2 linked regions of the Macaca mulatta genome follow. Each later gene encodes a partner of the first gene's protein in a complex. Links are inferred from orthologs where the notes say so. Each region holds a gene or a part of one and is shown on either strand. Other genes may lie near its edges. The genes, in order: ARPC3 and ARPC5.

Evidence for each region.
Region 2: ARPC3 (region 1) and ARPC5 share a complex: the UniProt entries of both Homo sapiens proteins name them as parts of the arp2/3 complex. The link is inferred for Macaca mulatta from reciprocal best matches to the Homo sapiens genes ARPC3 and ARPC5.

The regions. Positions count from the first base shown.
Region 1 is NC_133416.1:117,612,972-117,616,786, forward strand, and holds part of ARPC3 (actin-related protein 2/3 complex subunit 3), read right to left. Parts: intron 1,785-3,815; coding exon 1,685-1,784; intron 1-1,684. UniProt on the Homo sapiens protein: Component of the Arp2/3 complex, a multiprotein complex that mediates actin polymerization upon stimulation by nucleation-promoting factor (NPF).
Region 2 is NC_133406.1:41,108,273-41,112,646, forward strand, and holds the start of ARPC5 (actin-related protein 2/3 complex subunit 5), read right to left. Parts: upstream 2,849-4,374; 5' UTR 2,705-2,848; coding exon 2,561-2,704; exon of another isoform or gene 1,618-2,560; intron 79-1,617; coding exon 7-78; intron 1-6. UniProt on the Homo sapiens protein: Component of the Arp2/3 complex, a multiprotein complex that mediates actin polymerization upon stimulation by nucleation-promoting factor (NPF).

The sequences.
Region 1 (3,815 bases):
CTTCTAAATGTAATGACAGGAGGGGGCAAAGGCCAAAGGATTCTGAAATTAGAAGAATACTTGGCACATAAGAGGCATTCTATAGATATTTGTTGAATATAAATGAATTAGTGTGATTAATACTGTTATTTAGCTCACAGCACAGGCCTCCATTCCAATTCAGGTGTTTTTCTTTTTCTTTTTTTTTTTTTTCCTTTTGAAACAAGAGTTTTGCTCTTGTTGCCCAGGGTGGAGTGCAATGGCATGATCTCAGCTCACTGCAACCTCCACCTCCCAGGTCAGCTCACTGCAACCTCCACCTCCTAGGTTCAAGCGATTCTCCTGCCTCAATCTCCCAAGTAGCTGGGATTACAGGCATGTGCCACCACACCTGGCTAATTTTTTGTATTTTTAGTAGAGACGGGGTTTCTCCACGTTGTTCAGGCTGGTCTCGAACTCCTGAACTCAGGTGATCCATCCACTTCGACCTCTCAAAGTGCTGGGATTAGAGGTGTGAGCCACCACGCCTGGCCTTTGCAGTGTAATTTTTGTTTTTTTTTTTTGAGATGGAGTCTCACTCTGTCGCCCAGGCTGGAGTGCAGTGGTGCAATCTTGGCTCACTGCAACCTCCACCCACTGTGTTCAAGCAATTCTCCTGTCTCAGCCTCCTGAGTAGCTGGGATCACAGGTGCCCACCACCATGCCTAGCTAATTTTTGTATTTTTAGTAGAGATGGGGTTTTGCCATGTTTGCCAGGCTGGTCTCGAACTCCTGACCTTAAGTGATCCACTTGCCCTGGCCTCCCAAAGTTCTGGGATTACAAGTGTGAGCCACTGCGCCCAGCCCTGTGATTTTCTTTTATGTTATTTTTCTTCTCTCTCAGGCTGTCTTCTTCCTTGTTCCTTTTCCTCAGAATCAAGTAGAGACTGTGGTGACTCACCATATTTATAAAGTTTACTGAGCTTTCAAATGGTGTTGAAAACAAAATTAAGTTAAAAAAAGGTCAAGTCAAATAGTCTGGCAGAGAAATGGGAATTGGATCAGTACCAAATTGATAATTATAATAATGGTCTTAGAAACCATGAATGGAATTCAGTTCAGACCCTTGCAGGGTACAGGGAAACCGTGTCTAATATAATACAAATAATACTGTTGGAAGAACATCTCAGAAAGCGTCAGAAGAGTCTCAGACAGTGTCTGAAAAATATTGCAGCTTTCTGAAATAAAACTCAGAAAAGCAGGAATAGACAAAAGTAATGTTACATAGTATACTTCAGATTTAAGATTGAGGTATTGCTAAAAATGAAGATCTTGAAGAATGAATAAAGGAAGTAGATTTAGACGGGGAAGAGGTCAAAATATTTGTTGTTTTCTTCCAGGTTGATAACAGAAAGGATGGGCATGTGGCATTCTACACGTAACAGCATTAGATTTGTTTGAAAGAACTGATAAACAGTGTCCAGAATTAAGCACATTTCCTCCATTTTCTCAAAAGAGTTTCCTGGAGAAGTCAGAAGAAATAATACAATTTCCTATTAAATGCAACATATAACCACTATCTTGAAAGGTCTAGACCACAATATCTACCAAAGTACAAGGACAATTTGAGAGAGAAGACTGAGCTAAGAATTTCCCTGATTTGACCATTTTAGAAGACTGTTAGGCATTTCATGCCAAAATTTGAAAATAATGGGTTTAGACTTACTCTCTCTGGGTGCAGGTCCTTTGAATTGACTTCTAATAGGTAACAGTGCCATGTTTCCGATGAGTTTGGTGTCAGGATCCATGAGAGAAGAGTGGTAAGCCTGTAATGGCAAGCCCAGGAAGAACACAGAAGCAGAAAGAGAGCAAATGTCACTGTGGCAAACAACCTTTCCTTAAAGGAAAAAAAGAGTAACCCACCCAAGATTAATCAGGGGAGGGAGAAGGGATAGCAGCATTGAGGTGCTAGAGCTGGTTCTTTCTGGCTCAAGAAAACCAACTGTTAAATTATGAGGCATTTTTCAAGCTGGTTGTTAAACACAGCTGTTCTCAAAAATCAAATTATATAAACTTACAATTAAGTAAATGATGTTGGCCGGCGCGGTGGCTCACGCCTGTAATCCCAGCACTTTGGGAGGCTGAGGCAGGCGGATTGCCTGAGGTCAGGAGTTCGCGACCAGCCTGGGCAACACAGTGAAACCCCATCTCTACTAAAATACAAAAATTAGCCGGGCGTGGCAGTGTGCGCCTGTAGTCCCAGTTACTTGGGAGGCTAAGCTGGAGAATCACTTGAACCCAGGAGGCGAAGGTTGCAGTGAACCAAGATCATCCCACTGCACTCCAGCCTGGGCAACAGAGCGAGACTCTGTCTCAAAAAAAAAAAAAGTAAATGATGTTAAAACCAATGATGCTTAAATATTCATCACTACTTCTTTTTTTTTTTTTTTGAGAAGGAGTCTCACCATGTTGCCTAAGATGGTCTCGAACTCCTAAGCTCAAGTGATATGCCTGCCTCGGCCTCCCAAAGGGCTGGGACTACAGGCAAGAGCCACCTCACCCAGCTACTGCCTACATTTTATTTTTTTGAGACAGAGTTTTGCTCTTGTTGCCCAGGCTGGAGTGCAATGACGTGACCTTGGCCCACTGCAACCTCTGCCTCCCGGGTTCAAGCGATTCTCCTGCCTCAGCCTCCTGAGTAGCTGTGATTACAGGGATGTGCCACCACGCCCAGCTAATTTTGTAGTTTTGGTAGAGAAGGGGTTTCTCCATTTTGGCCAGGCTGGTGTTGAACTCCCGGCCTCAGGTGATCCGCCCGCCTCGGCCTCCCAAAGTGTTGGGATTACAGGCGTGAGCCACTGCACTGCACTTGGCCTACTTCCTAAATTTTTTTTTTTTTTTTTGAGACGGAGTCTCGCCCTGTCACCCAGGCTGAAGTGCAGTGGCGCGATCTCTGTTCACTGAAACCTCCGCCTCCTGGGTTCAAGCGATTCTCCCGCCCAGCTTCTTGAGTAGCTGGGATTAGAGGTGCGAGCCACCACGCCCAGCTAATTTTTGTATTTTTAGTAGAGACAGGGTTTCACCATGTTGGTCAGGCTGGTCTCAAACTCCTGACCCCATGATCCGCCCACCTCAGCCTCCCAAAGTGCTGGGATTACAGGCATGAGCCACCGCGCCCGGCAATAACCTAATTTTTAAAAATTACATTTTCCTATTGTCATGTTCTTAAAGTTATTATTACGAAATACTAAATAATGGGGTGCTGCTGTGCATCTCTTCCAATTCTATGTTTGGTGACATCACATTGGTATCTGGTCAAAGTATTTCCACCACAGAAAGGCAAACATCATATAAATCAGGGTACCCAGCCCCCAGCTAAACCAAGACCCAAGCACTATCTTTTCAGCTCTGCCACTTCCTGGCGTTATGCTTTGACCAAGGCATCATTCTTCTTCTCTTAGCTTGTTTCCAAATTTGTAAAATGAGAATATATATATTCCCTTCAGTGGGTAAGTGTGAGTTAAAGGAAGGGAGAAAAAAATCACATTTATGACAGCATTCTGTATGCTGATTCTTAGTTCTGCTTTTTACAAGATGCCTGGCTTTTTATAAGACAACATGGGTCCCATTCATATATTCATCCATCAAATGATTGCTAAGCACATTCTATGTGCAAGACACTGTGATACAGTAATATACAAAGTAGTACAGTCCTGGTCCTTGAAGAGTAGAGAAGGTAGACAAAAAATAATCACAGGATGGGACGGGCACGGTGGCTCACGCCTGTAATCCAAACACTTTGGGAGGCCGAGGCTGACAGATCACAAGGCCAAAAGATAGAGACCATCCAGACCAAC
Region 2 (4,374 bases), on another chromosome or scaffold:
ACTCACCTTCACTGCCTGACTCTTGGTGTTGATAGGGGGGTTCTTCAGAGCTGCCTGTAGGGCAGCTGTCATGTTTCCTGTGATGGAAGTTAAGGGTGTAGCAGCAAAGCATGGCCCCCAGGAAAGTATTATAACCACTGGTTCTGAAGACTTGCTTTATATATAAAAAGAAAATTACTGGTCACCATGTTCAATACTGGAAATTCAATGTGTTGGTTTCCAGGATGTTAATCAAGGGCAAGATATCAAAAGCAAAACAGAACATTAGACTTTCTTTTTAATAAAGCAAAGACTGTTTCACCCTTGGTTCTAACTATCAAATGAACACCTTGATAGTCTTTCATTGCCCAGTGAGATACATATGCAAACATTACCTAGAGTGGTGTTAAAGAAATCCTAGGCCGGGCGCGGTGGCTCAAGCCTGTAATCCCAGCACTTTGGGAGGCCGAGACCGGCGGATCACGAGGTCAGGAGATCGAGACCATCCTGGCGAACACGGTGAAACCCCGTCTCTACTAAAAAATACAAAAAACTAGCCGGGCGAAGTGGCGGGCGCCTGTAATCCCAGCTACTCGGGAGGCTGAGGCAGGAGAATGGCTAAACCCGGGAGGCGGAGCTTGCAGTAAGCTGAGATCCGGCCACTGCACTCCAGCCTGGGTGACAGAGCGAGACTCCCGTCTCAAAAAAAAAAAAAAAAAAAAAAAAAGAAATCCTAAAATATGTATCAGAATTATTAGTCCCCCAAATGAAATAACCTATTATCAACCAAAATATGTCTTTTCCTGTGATTCTAATTGAAAAAATAAAGACCAAACTTTTACTATATTCTATATTAACTGAAATGCTGGTAGAACATGCTGGCAGATTAGCAATCTCAATGATACACATTAGCAGTCTCTCAATATTGATGAAAAGAGGCATCACAGAAGATGTAATAATTCATATGTCCCTTAGGTGGCAGCTTAATTTTTTGCTTTAGATATTTTCTCTCATATTTCACAACGGTTATTCAAACTGTGTTAGACCATACCTATTAAATTCAGACTCTCTTTGAAAGCACTAGTGAGTTAGCAAGCATGAGAAACAGAAGGCCAATCAGACTGTCAGAATGTACCAGACATTCCCCTAAAAGGAAAACCACAGAGTTCACTTGTTCCTCCATCTCTAGTACCCCACCACTAGGGCTGTCTTTCCTGGCTGTATGTAAGGGTAAGAAAAGACAGTATCTTTTTATTTTAAGATGTACTGATCAAAAAGCGGATCCACTGATATGGACACAGCAGTCACCATAAATTACCTAAAATACATTGGGGTTTCATAAAACACCATCTATCCATCACAAATGTTTTTAGGAAGCATGTTCACCATTTATCTTCCGAAGAAAAAGTTCTCACACACACAAAATCTCTGGTTGACAAGCTGTTATTTTCAAGGCTGCAAGGATTTCTAGAGAAGCATGCCTCATGTGATTAGCTCATTTTGTATGACCCCAAGCACTTATTTAAATAATGCAAAAGAGCAACAGCTAATTAATTGTGAAAGTTGTGGCAATCAAAGGACTAGCTATATATTGATAAATGTCTAATGCTGTATTTAGGTGCCTTTAAAAAAGGATACTGTTGCCATTAAATATTTTCACTCACATTTTCCTCATATAACAGGACATTGAGTCTTCCTTATGAATACACCCAATAATTAGAAATGCATAAAAAGCCAGTGTTTGAGATTTTCTAAAACTATAGCTTCGGTTTTTTGCAACATTTACATTTTTCTAAAAAAGATGTAATGCAAATACGGAGTCAAAGTTATGAATATTCAAATATGCAAAAACAGAAACCGGGAACTGACAGCCATATTTTAACTAAAATGGAATCAATTTTAGGAATACAAAAAATTGTATTCATTCCCCTCCCCCGGTTAACAAATTCTGTGCAATGTATATTTTGTCAAATCCCCCCCTCCCTTTTTTTTCTTTTTTTAAAGGCCAATGGGCTGAAAGCATAGGGGACCTCAATTTTCAAACCGTACCATCTACCTTCTGCCCCCGGTAAGGAATAAACTATCTTAATGCTAGCAATAACAAAAACACAACAAAAAACAAAATCACTAAGGAAAGACGCAGGTTCCCCACAATCAGAAATTTCTGGAGCTAATGTGACTCCGGGAAATAGAGTTCTAGGAAGAAAAACTTAGGCGCTCGGCACCAGCCTTCCCCACCAGCCCGGGCCGCCTTCCCCAACGCCGCGAAGGCGCGGCCGGCGGGACCGGTTCCCGAGGCAGGCAGGCACTCGGGTGCAACCTGAGGAATCTGGGGGCGTGGAAGGCGCGCGGGGGAGGGCAGGCTTCCAAGAGTGGGACCCTCGCGTCTCCTGGCTCCTGAGTAGGAAACGGGGGCTTCCTCCTGCCCTCTCAGAGCGGGAGACCCCAAAGAGACAGGTTTAGCCGCAGGTAGACAGGGCAGCTCCGCGCCGGGGCCCCGCGGAACCTTCAGGCTCCCGGGTCTCTGGACAAGGGCGGGCTGGGCTGGGCTAGGGTGGGGAGGGCGGCGAATGCAAGGATATTGCCGTAGGCAGGAGTCCACCTCGCCCTCATCGGGCCCGGCCTGGCCGTCGCCCCCATCTTCTTCGTCCACGAACTTGTTCTCGTCATATTCATCCACGTCCACCTTCCGGAACCGGGCTGACGACACTGTGTTCTTCGACATCCCAATCCCTACCAGCGGCAAAGGCCTCTTCTTGGAGCTGCCTCTACCTCAGCAAGCCGAGCCCAGCAGCCCACTGCCCGGCGCCTGATTCACTTCCCTCTTCCGCTCTGGGGCGTCGCCGGCTGCCGTGGCTGGGACGGTTCTGGGCCTGCGCGCCAACCCTGCTGCTTCCTCCTCAGGTTCACGCTCTCCTGGCGCCTCCCACGCCGCCCCCACTCTTTCACGGAGAGCGCGCGCGGGGGAGGGAGGGCGCAGGACACAGCGCGCAGGCGCGGGCTCTCCGTAGGCAAGGGGCGGGGCTGGGCGAAGGAGGAGGGGGCGAGAGGGAGGGCCGAAACCTGGATCGCGGGCGGAGGTAAGAAACGATTGGTCGTCCGAGTGCGTCACGTGATTCCCAGGGGGTTCCCATAGAAACGCTTTTCTGCGGTCCAGTCTAGGGGGTCTGAGGTTGTCGGTGATGGGCAGCAGCGGCAGGTGGCATTGACTTTTGCTGCAGCCGTCAACGACCTGTCATCCGGGTCCTGCGTAAGGTCCGACTGGCTGGGACTTGGATGTGGGTGGGATGGACTTGGCTGCCGGACCGAGTGCCCTGCAGTTGGCAGGAGTATGAGGCGGAGTGATGCACACCCGGGCGCCCAGCATCGTTCTAATTGCCGGAGACGTTACCTCGGACTGTGCGCTGCTAGGGGCTGCGTTCCTGAGCGGGAAGCCCGTTTCCTGGGGTTGGAACTACCCTACTTGGCCAGCGGGAGGTCCCCAAGGACGGAGTCGAAAGGTCAAATCTTATCTGTCAGTGCTGTGTGACAGCATCACGACGGGATCTGCAGAACCTGAACTCGGTATCAAATCTACTGGGAGGGAGGGGAATGTGTCCGGGCAGGCGCTGGGGTCGGTTGGCAAAACTGGGGTGAATTTGTAGAATTTGGGAAAGGGTCATTGACATCTTAAAATAGGTGGTTGTTTGGAGCAAGAATGCTGAAAAGGGGTGAGGGTAGGTTAGGCTCTCTAGTGCTGGGGGAAAACAAAATGGGTAAGGATTGGTGGAAACCAGACCTTTAAGATTTATATTATGATTTAAGATTTATATGATTCCATCTAGGCCAGATTTTAAAAAAAATATTTGACATCCCCATTTCCGGAATGTAGGAGATAAAGGCACTAAGACGAAGGAAATGGTAGTTGTGCTGTGTGTATTACACTGAAGAACAAATATTTGCAGGATAAAATTAATTTGGACATTTGGCTGGACATTGCTCAGGTATGGGTCTAGTTTAGTTGGACCTCGAACAGAAGACTGGCTGTTGTCCTGTTGTGTGCCACAATCTTTGGTTTCCAGTGCTGTGTTGAAAAGAGCACTGGGCTTATAATCAGAAAACTCAGGCTTAAGTCTTGACTCTTCCGCTCATAATGTTTGAACGAGACATGTCACTTGAAATTCTGTCTCAGATTCCTCATCACCGAAATGGAGCTAATAATGTGCACTTTACAAGATTGTTCTTAGGATTAAATATCACGAAAGTGTTTCCAAGCTCTAAAATTCTACATAAATGTAAAATGCATGTTACTTGTACCATTGGTTTTGGGACTAGTCTTATAAATTGCTTAATAATATATGGTGTTTTATCTTGTTCCTGGAAGAGATGGAAAGATTCTGAAGGGCAGAGACAGTT